3 linked regions of the Tribolium castaneum genome follow. The protein of the gene in region 1 purifies or fractionates together with the protein of each later gene. This does not show direct contact. Links are inferred from orthologs where the notes say so. Each region holds a gene or a part of one and is shown in the gene's direction. Other genes may lie near its edges.

Region 1 (4,017 bases):
GCAGGACGAGAAAATTATACTCCCCGAGTTCATGGCTGCAGTCTTTAAGTAGTAATTTTTTATAAAACAGGTTTTTACAATTCTTTATAAGGTTGCCTTTCTTGTTATATACTTTTATCTTACATAGCTATTGTAATAGTATTGAGTTAAATAAAATATTTTTTTACAAGAACCGAGGGTTTTGTCAAAACCTTGACACTAGTATAGAGTTATAACTAGAGACCGGATTTTTACGTGTCAAAATTACTGTTACAGGAAAAATAAAAACAATTTTTATTGCAATAAATTTCACCACAAAAACAAACACGTCAAAAACTTAAAATTGTCTGTTAGACAAAAAAATTAATTAACTGTTAAATCTAAATATTGTTCTAAATTTGCTGTTTTCTGTAAGAATTCTTCTCAACCTAGAAAATGACCAAACTGTACGGACATACATATTAGTACTAAAATCAGGCACCTCTGCATTTTCAATATATTTTCATTCAATTAGCATTTTTATTTCTTCAATAGATTTTTATTTTCAGAATTTTTTGTATAGTTTGTCATTAAATAATTTTTTCCACAATTGGGATAAAAAAATTTTTTATCATTGTTTTGACAACAATTTTGTTATGCAAATTTTTGTTATAAGTGTCTTTTTTATTGCTGTATCAATGGCCAAAAGGGCATTGTGTGACAAAACCTATTTTGGGATGAAATGGGATATTGTATTTTTGGAGCTAGAAAATTTTATTTTTTTTTAACATTGTTCCGACAACAGTTTTGTTATGCAATTTTTTGTAATAAGTGTCTTTTTTATTGCTGTATCAACGTCCAAAAGGGCATTGTGTGATAAAACCTGTTTATGAGTGAAATGGGATAAAAATTGGGATAATACATTTCTGGACGCAGTAAAGTTTGTTTCTTTAATATCATTTTTTTAATGATAAATGATGATGACAATGATAAAATTTTATGTAAAAATGTGAATGAATATAATGAAATTTAAATTTAACAAGATTTTTCAATTCAGCAAAATTCAATGGCTAAAAGGTCATTGTGTGACAAAACTGATTTCGGGGTAAAGTGGGGTGAAAACTCAGTCTGTGTAGTGTAAAAGTTGCTCCTTTAATCATTAACAATTTTTTTCCTTTTTTTCAGTTTTTTATTTAACTCTTTAAAGCAGGCAACCAACCATACATTTCCAAAATTGAATCTTATTTTGTTGGTGTGGTGTGATTTGGGTCAATTTTGGTTCATGGGTATTATTAATTTAATAAACCTCCCATTTGATTAACTCAAAACGTTGGGTCGTGCCTCCAAAAACCATTTTTCTAAAAATCACCAGTTGGCAAATTTGAGGTTATCGCAGGTTGGCTTTTGACGTCACTTGCCTGTCAAATTACAATTTCACAACGTGCTCTGTGTTCACGAAACCGTGGACGATGTGTGACGAAGCAGTGCTCCAAAATGGGGCTTTGGCCCCCCCGAAAACAGCCAAGCAGTTGGAGAAAGAGGCCAAAAAACAGGCAAAGTTGGACAAGTTGAAGCAAAAGTTGGAGAAGCAGCAAAACGCGGCACCGAAGAAGGAGGCTGAGGTAAGGGTGAATGATGCAACATATGTGCGGTGACGCGAGGGTTTTTTTGCAGAAGAAAGAGAAGAAGAAGGAGGTGAAGGAGGCTGCTGTTTATAATATAGCGACACCAGAGGGTGACAAGAAGGATATCAGTGGGGCTTTGCCCGATGCTTATAGCCCCCAGTTTGTCGAGGCGGCGTGGTACTCCTGGTGGGAGAAACAGGGCTTTTTCAAGCCGGAATATGGGGTAATTATAATTAAGATACGGAGTGATCAAGAATGAATGTTTGGGTTGGTAGCATTGGTTTCTTGGCAGTTTGCAACACTGTTGGAAAAATACAGCAAAATTAATTAGACATAGAATAACATTTTTCAGACTTGTTTGAAATGTTTCGGGAAAAAAATATGTATGTAACTCATTGTTACTCAATTTTTTCGTGATTCAAGGACTGATAGAATAATTTCGTTAGTCATCATTTTTGATATCTAGAACTCAATATAATTACAGAGAAAGTCAATCGCTGAACCCAACCCTAGAGGCAAATTTGTAATTGTAATTCCACCTCCAAACGTCACCGGATCGCTCCATTTAGGTCATGCTTTGACCAATGCGATTCAAGATTCCATTGTTCGATGGTAATATCTCACTAAAACTAAAATGAAAAATTAATCGTTTTTTTTTTAAATTAGGCATAGAATGAGAGGTGAGACAACTTTGTGGAACCCTGGCTGTGATCATGCCGGAATTGCTACTCAAGTGGTAGTAGAAAAAAAATTATGGCGAAACGAGAAAAAAACACGACATGATATTGGACGTGAAGGGTTTATTAGCAAAGTTTGGGAATGGAAGGAGGAGTAAGTAATTTTCCTACTTTTCGAGAACATTTTCCTTTGAATTAAACTAAAATTGTAAGATTTTTCAACTTGGAGATTATTTAACCAATATTTTTACTAGGCTTCAAAGAATTGCAAAATCAGTTCGAGAATGTACTTTCGTGCTTTAGCATATTTTTCAGTCAGAAGTTTCGGTGAAACAAGGAGGTTAAATATTTGGTGTAATCGTTGCCTTGTTTTTTCGAGGCTCTATTGCCTGAAAAAATCATAATAAACGTAAAAACAGCTAAAAATCATTGGATTCAGACAAAAATCGTCGAAATGTCGATAATTTTCGAGCATCTGTGCAAGTTTTTATGCCAAGTACTTTCAAGCTCATTATTGCGCTAAAATCAAAGTTTTTTCGAAAGAAAGATGAAAATAGTAAATTTCCCCTTTTTTCCAATGTTTTTGAGGTAAATACGTATTTTTTTTACAAGAAACACCAAATTACATCAAAATTGACGTTATAGATATGCTCTTATATTATTTGTTTCAAAAATTTTTTTTCAGAAAAGGTGAGATTTCTATAATTTGTAAAAGAAGTCTTCGTTTAGTTTTTAAAAATGTTTTTTTTCTGTTTTTTGTTCATTATCCCTATAAAATTTTTAGTTTTCTTCTACAAAATTAGTTTATTTTTTTGAGTATTCTCAAGTGATTTGGCTTGTTTTTAAGCGAGGAATCGTTGAAAATCTATGTAAAAAACTTACAAAAACACAAAATTAGTGATTTTTGGAATAATTCTGGTCAGATGTCCTATTTTGATTTTGGTGATATCTCAACTCAGGTTAATAAAACTTCGTGAAAAAACTGTATTTTTATTTTAAAAATGTACTTAAATGCTCAGTAAAATGGAAAATAATGGTTTGGTATTTTTTCCGGCATAATTTTTGACATTTTTAAGTGTTTTTACACCTTGTTCAACCAGAAACGCATGTTTTTGGAAAATTCCTGTTCAGCAAGCCAGAAAAAATTGATTGTAAATTGAAAATGGTGTCCCTAATTTACTACTTTTTCGATTTTTTTGACCAAAAAAATTTTTTCACTGTAATAGGTCGAAAAATTACCAAATGACAATATTGTACAATGGACATAAAAACAGTACGAAGAATATCTGAATTCTTGGCTTATTTTTGACGAAATTGCTTGAAATAATCGTTAAAACGCTCGAAGGAAGGAAGCATTTTCTTATTTTTTACTTAATTTATTGATTTTTTGGTCAGATTTACTGAAATTTCACTTTTTACTTTAAACTTGTTAAGTGTACCGAAAAGGTAAATATAACACAATTTTCAACACAATTTGGCGCTTTTGTGGCTTATTTTTAAGGAAGTTGTTCGAAATAACTTCGAAAAATATTATTTTTGACCTAATTTTCTGATCAATCATGCGAAAAAACAAAGATTTTCGCTTAAAAATATGCTAAAGACATCGAGAAAGGCCGAGAAAACCATTTTTAATGGTAAGTCGGTTAATTTTTGACGAAGTTTATTAATTTTTTCTTAAGTTTACTGAAATTTTACTTTTTTAACTTAAGAATGTTTTTAAAAATTAGTTTATTTTTTTGTATATTCTCAAGTGATTT
Region 2 (4,141 bases), on another chromosome or scaffold:
GATTTTATTGATTTGCTTACTGCATTTTGGGTCGGTTGGGTTTCGTCCGGTTTGGCCACTTGGCCGTTGGCTGACGGATTATTCTCGGCTTGGGGATCAGCCATTTCGTGTCAATTTCTCAATTCTTTTGAAATTTAATTAATCATTGACCACATCACATGAACGAAATGACTTTTCGTTTTGAATTTTATGAGGTTGGTATCGGTAATGAGTCGTGGTTAGGGCAGGGTAGCCAACGCGAACAGCGGACAGGGCCGGGCTCAGGCAACTTTTATACAAAATATCCTTAATCTCTGTTCATCTAACAATCACCAAAAACATAAATTAATCGCACAACCAAAGTTACAAATAAAATAAAAAAATAATAGTGTTTATTCAATAAAACAAACACAGAAGAAAAATTCGACTTGACATTTTCCAAAGCACTCTTCGCAAAAATGATTTCTTGCATGTAAGATTCAATCATATCACGTGATGATACATCGTTGTCATCAGAAGTAAAAACACTTATAACAAATACGAAATGCAAATGTGGCATTCATAAGAATACCCAAAGTTGAGTGTTGCAACTCTGTAATCAAGAACGCCTTGGAAAAAATGACGAAGGATTTAGATTTTTTTGTAAAAATTGCCTGAAGAATGTTCTACTTTTTCTTTGGTATTTGCTTGTAAAAAAAAAAAAACAAAAATTAGAAATTTTTGTGTTATTTTTTTAGTAATTCAAAAAAAACGACACCAAATTTTTTTTAGATAATTGAACAGGCTGTAAAAACAGAGTAAAAAGTACTATATTTTGGCTTTAGTTTTTTAAAACTTTCCAAAGTATGGCAAAAAATGTCTCTCTGTTAATAAAAAGTGTTTATTTTTAAATATTTATATTTTTTTTCTTCTTTTCTGAATTAACTAATAAATGTTTTTTTCTTTTTTAAAGACTATGTCATAGGCAGAAAAGCCCAAAGTTAAGTACCCCGAGGCGGCAATGCACCTAAATACGTTACTATGTGGAATTATCAAGTATTTTTTATTTATTCAAGGAACAAAGATACCACGCGATCATCGGAATTTATAATTAGAATAGACGTTTTTTTTGTATATAATGTGTATATAATTGATAGACAGGTGCATTTAGTTCTTCAGCTTAATTAATTATTATAATCAGCGTTTTCTTGGTTTTCATACAAGATAAAAAGTACCTTATAAAGCCTACTAGAAAATAGGCATTTAATCCTTTAGGGCAGAAAGTCTAAGTACGGTTCTGTTATTTTTAGTGGGCCTTTTTAAAGAAAAAAAATAATTTGTATAATTCCTGGAAGATGTGTGCAATTTAGTGTTGTTTTTTGCACAAAAGCGGGCATTTCGAGGCTGTAAAAATCGAAAAAAAAAGGCCTAAGCCCGACACGTCACCAGACCGCAAGCCCAAAATTCCCTATGCAGCTGTCAAACTCTTCAAGTCCTTTTCTGTGAGAAATTGGACGAGCAATGGCTGCAGGAGTAAGTATTATCGAAATTTCCTCAAATATCTCGCATTTATGACACAATCATCGGCAGAAAACCGTTGAATAACCCAAATCCGGCATTATCTTTGACAGTTTTGTGTTTATTTTTTCAGACACTGTACACCTATCCCGACAATTTCCGTGCTGCTAAGGCTTTAATCGCTGCCCAGTACTCCAAAAGCAATGTTAAAGTAAGCCCAAACTTTGTGTTCGGTGAAACCAACAAGTCGAAAGAATTCTTAAAGAAATTTCCCAGTGGAAAGGTGAGTCTGGACGCGCTTCAAAATTGAGGTTAAGTCACACTGGACAGTTGTATAGGTGCCAGCTTTCGAGTCAAACGATGGCAAGTATCTGCAAGACAGCAACGCAATTGCTTACTACGTCGCCAATGAACAATTGAGAGGCAAGTCGGAGTACGAGAAAGCCCAGATTTTGCAATGGGTGGGCTTTGGAGAGTCGGAGATACTCCCAGCTGGCTGTGCCTGGGTGTTCCCCATTTTGGGGGTTGTCAAGAAGAACGCCGCCACTGAGGAGGTAAATTACGTATTTTCTCGCGTCCTCCTTCAAAGGCAAATTAACCAATCCGGTTGGTTGATTTGTAACTCAAGGAGGTATATTAAGACAATTACCCATTACTGAGTGTCTCGGTGGCGCTCAGTTAAGTTATATTATTGTAACAAGTGATTTTCGCCCAGTTTTGTCACTAGACTGACCCAGTTTTCGTGATTCTAGGGATATGCAAGAGCCAAGGAGGACATGAGGGCTGCTCTGGCAATCCTAGACAGCCATTTGCTTACCCGTACTTATCTAGTTGGGGAACGTATCACTTTAGCTGATATTGTTGTAGCTTGCAATCTTTCAAATTTATACAAATATGCGTTCGATCCCGACTTTAGAAAACCATTCGTCAACGTTAACAGATGGTTCACAACTTTAATCAACCAACCTCAGTTTAAGGCCGTTTTGGGCCAGGTGCAATTTTTGGACAAAGTTGCACAACCTTTCACCGGCGCGCAGGGAGGTGAAGGTAAGCCAAAGTTTTTTTAACGGTTCAAATGATCAGTATTTAATTCTTTTGCTGCATAAAATTCTATGAGTAAATGGTCTTGTTTATAATGTATACCGTACTATGGAGAGTTAAATACTAGGAAGCAAACGTCGGTACTAACTCGATTTCTGTTTCCTAACGTTAGTGTGTAATAGTTGTTTACCTAACGAGTTTGGAAAGTGCAAAAAGTCCGGGGACTTTTTTTATATTCCTAGACTTTTTTTGTCTTCAACAGTATTTCTAGTATTTTGATAAATATGCGACGGTGTTCAAAGCAATTATCGCAATAAATGTGTTGCATCCTAGTGTCCATATGCTGCACATAATGGATTAAGTACTGTTCAGTTTATTGCAACCTGTGTTAAATCCCTTAACCCAAAAATAATTTTACAAGCTGCTAATACTAACAGTATTGTTGCGGAGAAAAATAATAAAAAGAAGAGTAAGTTAAGTGTGGTTTTATTCGTCTTGCTTAGTTGCTTTTCCACCAACAGGTAAGAACAAAAAGAAAGAGGAGAAAAAAGAGAAGAAGCAGCAGCAGCAGCCTAAAAAGGAAACACCAAAAAAGGAGAAAGAGCCCGTTGAAGAAATGGATGCGGCTGAAGCAGCGCTCGCTGCCGAGCCCAAATCGAAGGACCCCTTTGAATCCATGCCCAAAGGGACGTTCAATATGGACGATTTCAAGAGATTTTATTCTAACGAAGATGAAGCCAAATCAATTCCGTATTTCTGGGAGAAGTTCGATCCTGAAAACTACACTATTTGGTACGGGGAATATAAGTACCCTGAAGAGCTCACTAAGATTTTTATGAGCTGCAATTTGATCACCGGAATGTATCAGAGATTGGATAAAATGCGCAAACAAGCCTTTGCCTCAGTTTGTCTTTTTGGTGAGGACAATAACAGTTCAATCTCCGGGATTTGGGTGTGGAGGGGCCACGACCTCGCATTCACTGTACGTTGATTCTGTGTTTTTAAAATTGGTTTGATTGAGTTTTGTAGTTGAGTCCTGACTGGCAAATCGACTACGAGTCGTATGATTGGAAGAAATTGGATGCAAAATCAGAAGAGACTAAAAAATTAGTTGCCCAATACTTCTCATGGACTGGCACTGACAAAAAGGGAAGGAAGTTTAACCAGGGCAAAATCTTTAAGTAAAACCTGAGGTGTAATATATTTTTTTTACAACCATGTCCTTTTGATAATTTAATTTAAATCCATCGTTTGTCAGTTGTTTAACCCTAACTGTTTTTCTTTCAATAAAACGCTTTGAGGATAATTTATGTTTTATTTGAATAAACCTATTACACTATAAGTCGGCTTCAAACTGATCGTCTCTGTTGAGGGGATCACCTTTCAACAAAGCCACAATCATGCTAAAAATAAACAAGTTGCGCAATGTTTGATATAAATAGACACAACTCACCAGTACAGATACGCAAAAAAGAACAGTAAATAATATCCTAAATAAATCATACAGTCCCTCATATGCTTCTTTAATTGACCTCTATTGTGAATCTCTGTGGGGTCATAGATCCCCAAATTTCCACTTGGCACTGATACTAACTCATACACCATCCAAAATGCCATTGGCAAG
Region 3 (4,123 bases), on another chromosome or scaffold:
CGGTCAACCTCCTGCATAACAAAATCATTTTTAAGTACAAATGGTGTTTCAGAAATGAGTTTTTTTTATGAATCACTACTGTTTATTTTACATTTTTGGAGCTTTTAATGCTAATTATGTTGATGTAAATTTCTGTGCTTAGTTTTTGAAATCAAATTTTTTCGATGAAAAAATTAAAGAGAAAAGTTCAAACTTAAGCAGAAGTAAGATTATCAAAAAGTTAATAACAATTTATAGGTTTCGATTGGTCGCAACTGGAGCCTTGCGTCGACTACATGGAGGTGTTCTACATAATTATTAAAGACGCCCCCGATCCGCGTCTGTACTCCTGTCTCGGTGGCCCTCATCCCGAGGAAATGAGCCGACTTTCGGCCGGGCTTCTCCGCCGGGTGCAATCGGGACCCCAAAGTGAAAATTACTCGTTTCAAACCCACATTGCCAGCATGGAGTACTTTGTTAGTATTGTTTGACTTTGTTTTTGTGTTTTTCTAAACAAATCTGTTTAGGAGACAGCAACAATCTACAGATTGAATAAATTACGGCCTTCTACTGCTAATGAAGATACCACAAGTGTTCCTGCAACAGAGGAAAACAATGAAACGGTTGATTTGACTGAAGAACTTGAGAATTTAACGGAGCTGGCAAAAGAGGATGCCAGCGCTACTACTGTTGACCACAATTTGATGACTTTGGACGAAATTTTTGAGCTTATTTTAGGCCAAGAAGGGAGTAAGGATTCTAGTTAGGGGTTTATGTTGTTACTATTGTTCGTAACTAGTTAAGATGTGTATTTTATGACTTGTTCTTAAGTGTTAGTTTCCTCGTTCGTATTATTTATCTCACTACACTAGTGCCTTTTCTAAACTGTGATCAATAGTTTTAAATATTGAGATCTATTTGTAAAGAAGCGTTGTAACCTTTGTAAATTTTTGCTAAACATTTCACTTCAATTTTAGTCATAGACAAATCATATTTATTAGCATAAATTAGTCAATTGTAATATATTCGATTTTAACTTAATTGTTTTAGCGTGACGCGAGATCTATGATGTAACTTTTATAGCGTTTGGTGTCGTTCCAGTTTTAGTCAAGCAAATTGTTTTGGATTATTTTAATCGTAATTTAGAGTCTTGTAGTCACTTAAAAAGACTGTATTTTATACATATTTTTGTATATTTGGAATTTGAAATAAACTGTTTTGGTACTACTTGAGTTTGGGGAATGGCTGCTTGCCCAAATAAAAATTTTGCAAAAAATGACATCTGGTATTCTTTTAGAGATAAGTCCTTGAGTTTAGGTTTTAATCGAAACACTTGGAAATATTTAAACATATTTGAATCAAATGTGTTCCCGGGTCTGGGGATTTTATTTTTTGTGTTGGCGACCCTGTCGACATAACCTTTTCGAGAACAGCTGTCTCCCCATATAACAGAGTACAAGAAATCTATTAAAAAACAGCAAAAATTCTAGGTAATTTTTGTAGGCGTAGTTAGCCAAAGTCAAGATTGAATTTGTTAGTAGTTATTTGATAGTCTTGACTGTGTTTGTTTCAAAATTACGACACGTGTGTTCTAACCTGAAATACTTTTAGCCGCAATGGAGTACATGCAATACGAGAATATTTGGCTCACCAAATCAATTTACGAGGACGCAGAGACAAAGTATTACGAGAACTTGGCAAAGGTAAGTGGCTAGAACAGTGAAACCGTGCAAAAATAAAACCGTTTAGAGTAGTATTCAATTCGCTTCCATTTCTTCAAAATCTAACAAAATTCATATGGAAAATCGGCAAAAGTATTGTTCTTGTCTAGGTGACACTTGTCCTACTAATTGGGTGTTTATTTTCGAGTACGAGACGTACTGGTATTAACATAATGGTGTTCTGTTTGGTGTAGGCGTCCGTAACTCCTTTGGCGGGCGAAGTTGCCAAGGCGCGACAACTTCTTATTCAAAGTAGGGATTCTTTTAAAGATGTGAGTAAAGGCTTGACTTAACCCATTTGCATCCCATACTAACCCATCAATCTTTCAATGACCAATTGTCTTACGGCTCAAAATTACAGGCCCCTGCGTCCGAGACCCAATCCACTGATCACGGCGCGATCAAATTCTTCGAGAAAAAGGCCGTCGAATTTGAGAAAAGTACGCTTTATAACCACTCAAACCCAAATTAATAATTATTCCACAGCTATTAACGCGATGGTGGAGAGCATAAAACAGCTAGAATTGCGTCTTTCCAAAGTCGAGAAAAGCGTCAATTCCGCTCCCAAACCTGCACCAGCCCCGAAACCCGCCGCTGACGACGACGACGACGTCGATCTGTTCGGCTCCGAATCCGAGGAGGAGAACGAAGCCGCCGCCAAGCTGAGGGAGGAGCGTCTGGCTGCTTACAACGCGAAAAAGTCTAAAAGTAAACGCAATAACAATTTCACTATTGACAAATTGGTTCATATTTGAGTCGTGTAGATGCAAAACCAGCTGTATGGTTTTTGCATTTTTAACTTTTTTTTATTTGACTAACAGTGACTGATTTATCAGTTAAATGTTAACAGATGTATTACATCTATTAACAGTGTAGGAAAACATTGATCGTAAGCCGTTTTTATAAGAACGTTTTTCGGTTCTATCATAATATGATTGCAACTTCGAATTTCAAGAATATAGATAGATAGATAGATATCTGGTTTATTATGTTCAAAATTTATTCAAAATTTTACATTCGTCAATATTAAGTACAGTAGGGTGATTTGAAAATGTCATGGCAATAAACCTCGGTTTGGGATCGGTAGGTACTCCGACCTCAAACGACATAATTTTACTTTTCAATTTGAATCCAATTGCTTAAAATAAAAATAAGAAAAGATGGCTCCAGTTAAAAACAAAACTATGTTTTATTTGCAAATTTTAGCAGATATTTGTTTACAGTTTGTCACTTCGGTAATTGTGTTTGTGTTTTATTCTCCATAGGGAGAATAAATTATTTAGCAATGCGAATTAAATATCATCTTTATTGAAATTGGTTTCATCGGCTAAGGGTTTTGACGGTTAAATTTACTAGTTGAAATAGAAGAATTACAGAGTGGACCAAAAAGTAAATTCACCTCTGCCGTTTTGTCAATAATTTTAAAATATACACTAATTTTTATAATTCCAGTTCAGCGATTCTCAAAATTTAGGAATTTAGCTTCAGAATGATTTTTTGGGAATATACCTAATCGATTTGTTTTGCCATTCTTTATCTACCTTCAAATTTTTGCTAAACCATTTCTTAACACGCTGTATAGATACTGTAAAGCAGTGCTGATGACGTTTGTGAAGATTTCAGTGTTGTTAAACGATTTAAAAAAATACGACAAAAAGGAGGTGTGACAAAGACTCTAACAACGATCAAAAGTGACAAAGAATATTTTTTCAAAAATATATTTTTATATTTTACCCTGTATTTTGTGCAGCAATTCGGCTGTGTGCTTTTTTGAGTTTCCATAATTTGGTGTTTAATTACTTGATAATCTAGAGTGTGCAAATCTGCTTCTTCATCAATAAGTCGACTATGGAATCTAAATTCAATACCGCTTCGTTCAAATGACTGCTGTAGTTTCTGAGTACTTACTGTCATCTCTGTAAGATCTGTTAATTAGTTGTTTTTTCATTTTTTTTAGGCAATGTTGTTTCAATTGTATCGTTTGTCTTTATTTGTGTTTTACGTTTTTGTATTTTCTTGTGTATGTTCTGTAGTTTCTAAGTTTGAAGCGCTTTTGCTTTTGTTTGCCAGCATTCAAAATTTTGATTCAACGACACATCGCGTCTAACAGTCATAGATGACCTTTATAATAATTTGTTTTGCTATTCTACTAGATCTTAAGCCTATTTAATTAAGACAAACAATATTTTAGTCTGCGAGGGTAGAGTTTAAAAACCTACATTTCTTTAACATTTTAAATAGCTCTCTCTACTTTTTGAAACATTTTTGGATGGGAGGCAATAAAGTTAAGCGTGGAGAAAACTAATATTTGTTGACTTTTTTTAGTTAGGGGTAGCTTCAAAAAGCAGGGGGTTTCATTTAAAATTTCTAATTAAGGATGGTTAATTTCTAGGGGATGATGTATGTTAAGAATTCTACTCTAT

Evidence for each region. The genes of interacting proteins can lie anywhere in the genome.
Region 2: the proteins of ValRS (region 1) and eEF1gamma purify together in Homo sapiens (affinity purification with mass spectrometry; 6 studies listed by BioGRID and IntAct, counting the BioPlex papers as one, with this or other methods). This does not show direct contact. The link is inferred for Tribolium castaneum from reciprocal best matches to the Homo sapiens genes VARS1 and EEF1G.
Region 3: the proteins of ValRS (region 1) and probable elongation factor 1-delta purify together in Homo sapiens (affinity purification with mass spectrometry; 5 studies listed by BioGRID and IntAct, counting the BioPlex papers as one, with this or other methods). This does not show direct contact. The link is inferred for Tribolium castaneum from reciprocal best matches to the Homo sapiens genes VARS1 and EEF1D.

Annotation. Positions count from the first base shown.
Region 1 is NC_087394.1:5,060,681-5,064,697, forward strand, and holds the start of ValRS (valine--tRNA ligase), read left to right. Parts: upstream 1-1,185; 5' UTR 1,186-1,427; coding exon 1,428-1,580; intron 1,581-1,632; coding exon 1,633-1,806; intron 1,807-2,067; coding exon 2,068-2,195; intron 2,196-2,249; coding exon 2,250-2,414; intron 2,415-4,017. Other genes in the region: uncharacterized protein LOC103313614, read left to right, coding at 1-65. UniProt on the Homo sapiens protein: Catalyzes the attachment of valine to tRNA(Val).
Region 2 is NC_087402.1:7,326,689-7,330,829, reverse strand, and holds eEF1gamma (elongation factor 1-gamma), read left to right. Parts: upstream 1-1,330; 5' UTR 1,331-1,479; coding exon 1,480-1,491; intron 1,492-1,609; coding exon 1,610-1,759; intron 1,760-1,814; coding exon 1,815-2,030; intron 2,031-2,228; coding exon 2,229-2,523; intron 2,524-2,938; coding exon 2,939-2,986; intron 2,987-3,038; coding exon 3,039-3,499; intron 3,500-3,546; coding exon 3,547-3,702; 3' UTR 3,703-3,823; downstream 3,824-4,141. Other genes in the region: putative lipid scramblase CLPTM1, read right to left, coding at 21-104; cnir (protein cornichon homolog 4), read right to left, coding at 3,854-3,920, 3,971-4,141. UniProt on the Homo sapiens protein: Probably plays a role in anchoring the complex to other cellular components.
Region 3 is NC_087403.1:8,552,793-8,556,915, reverse strand, and holds the start of probable elongation factor 1-delta, read left to right. Parts: upstream 1-1,312; 5' UTR 1,313-1,469; intron 1,470-1,584; exon of another isoform or gene 1,585-1,590; 5' UTR 1,591-1,595; coding exon 1,596-1,682; intron 1,683-1,894; coding exon 1,895-1,972; intron 1,973-2,061; coding exon 2,062-2,140; intron 2,141-2,186; coding exon 2,187-2,408; intron 2,409-4,123. Other genes in the region: uncharacterized protein CycE, read left to right, coding at 238-455, 507-746.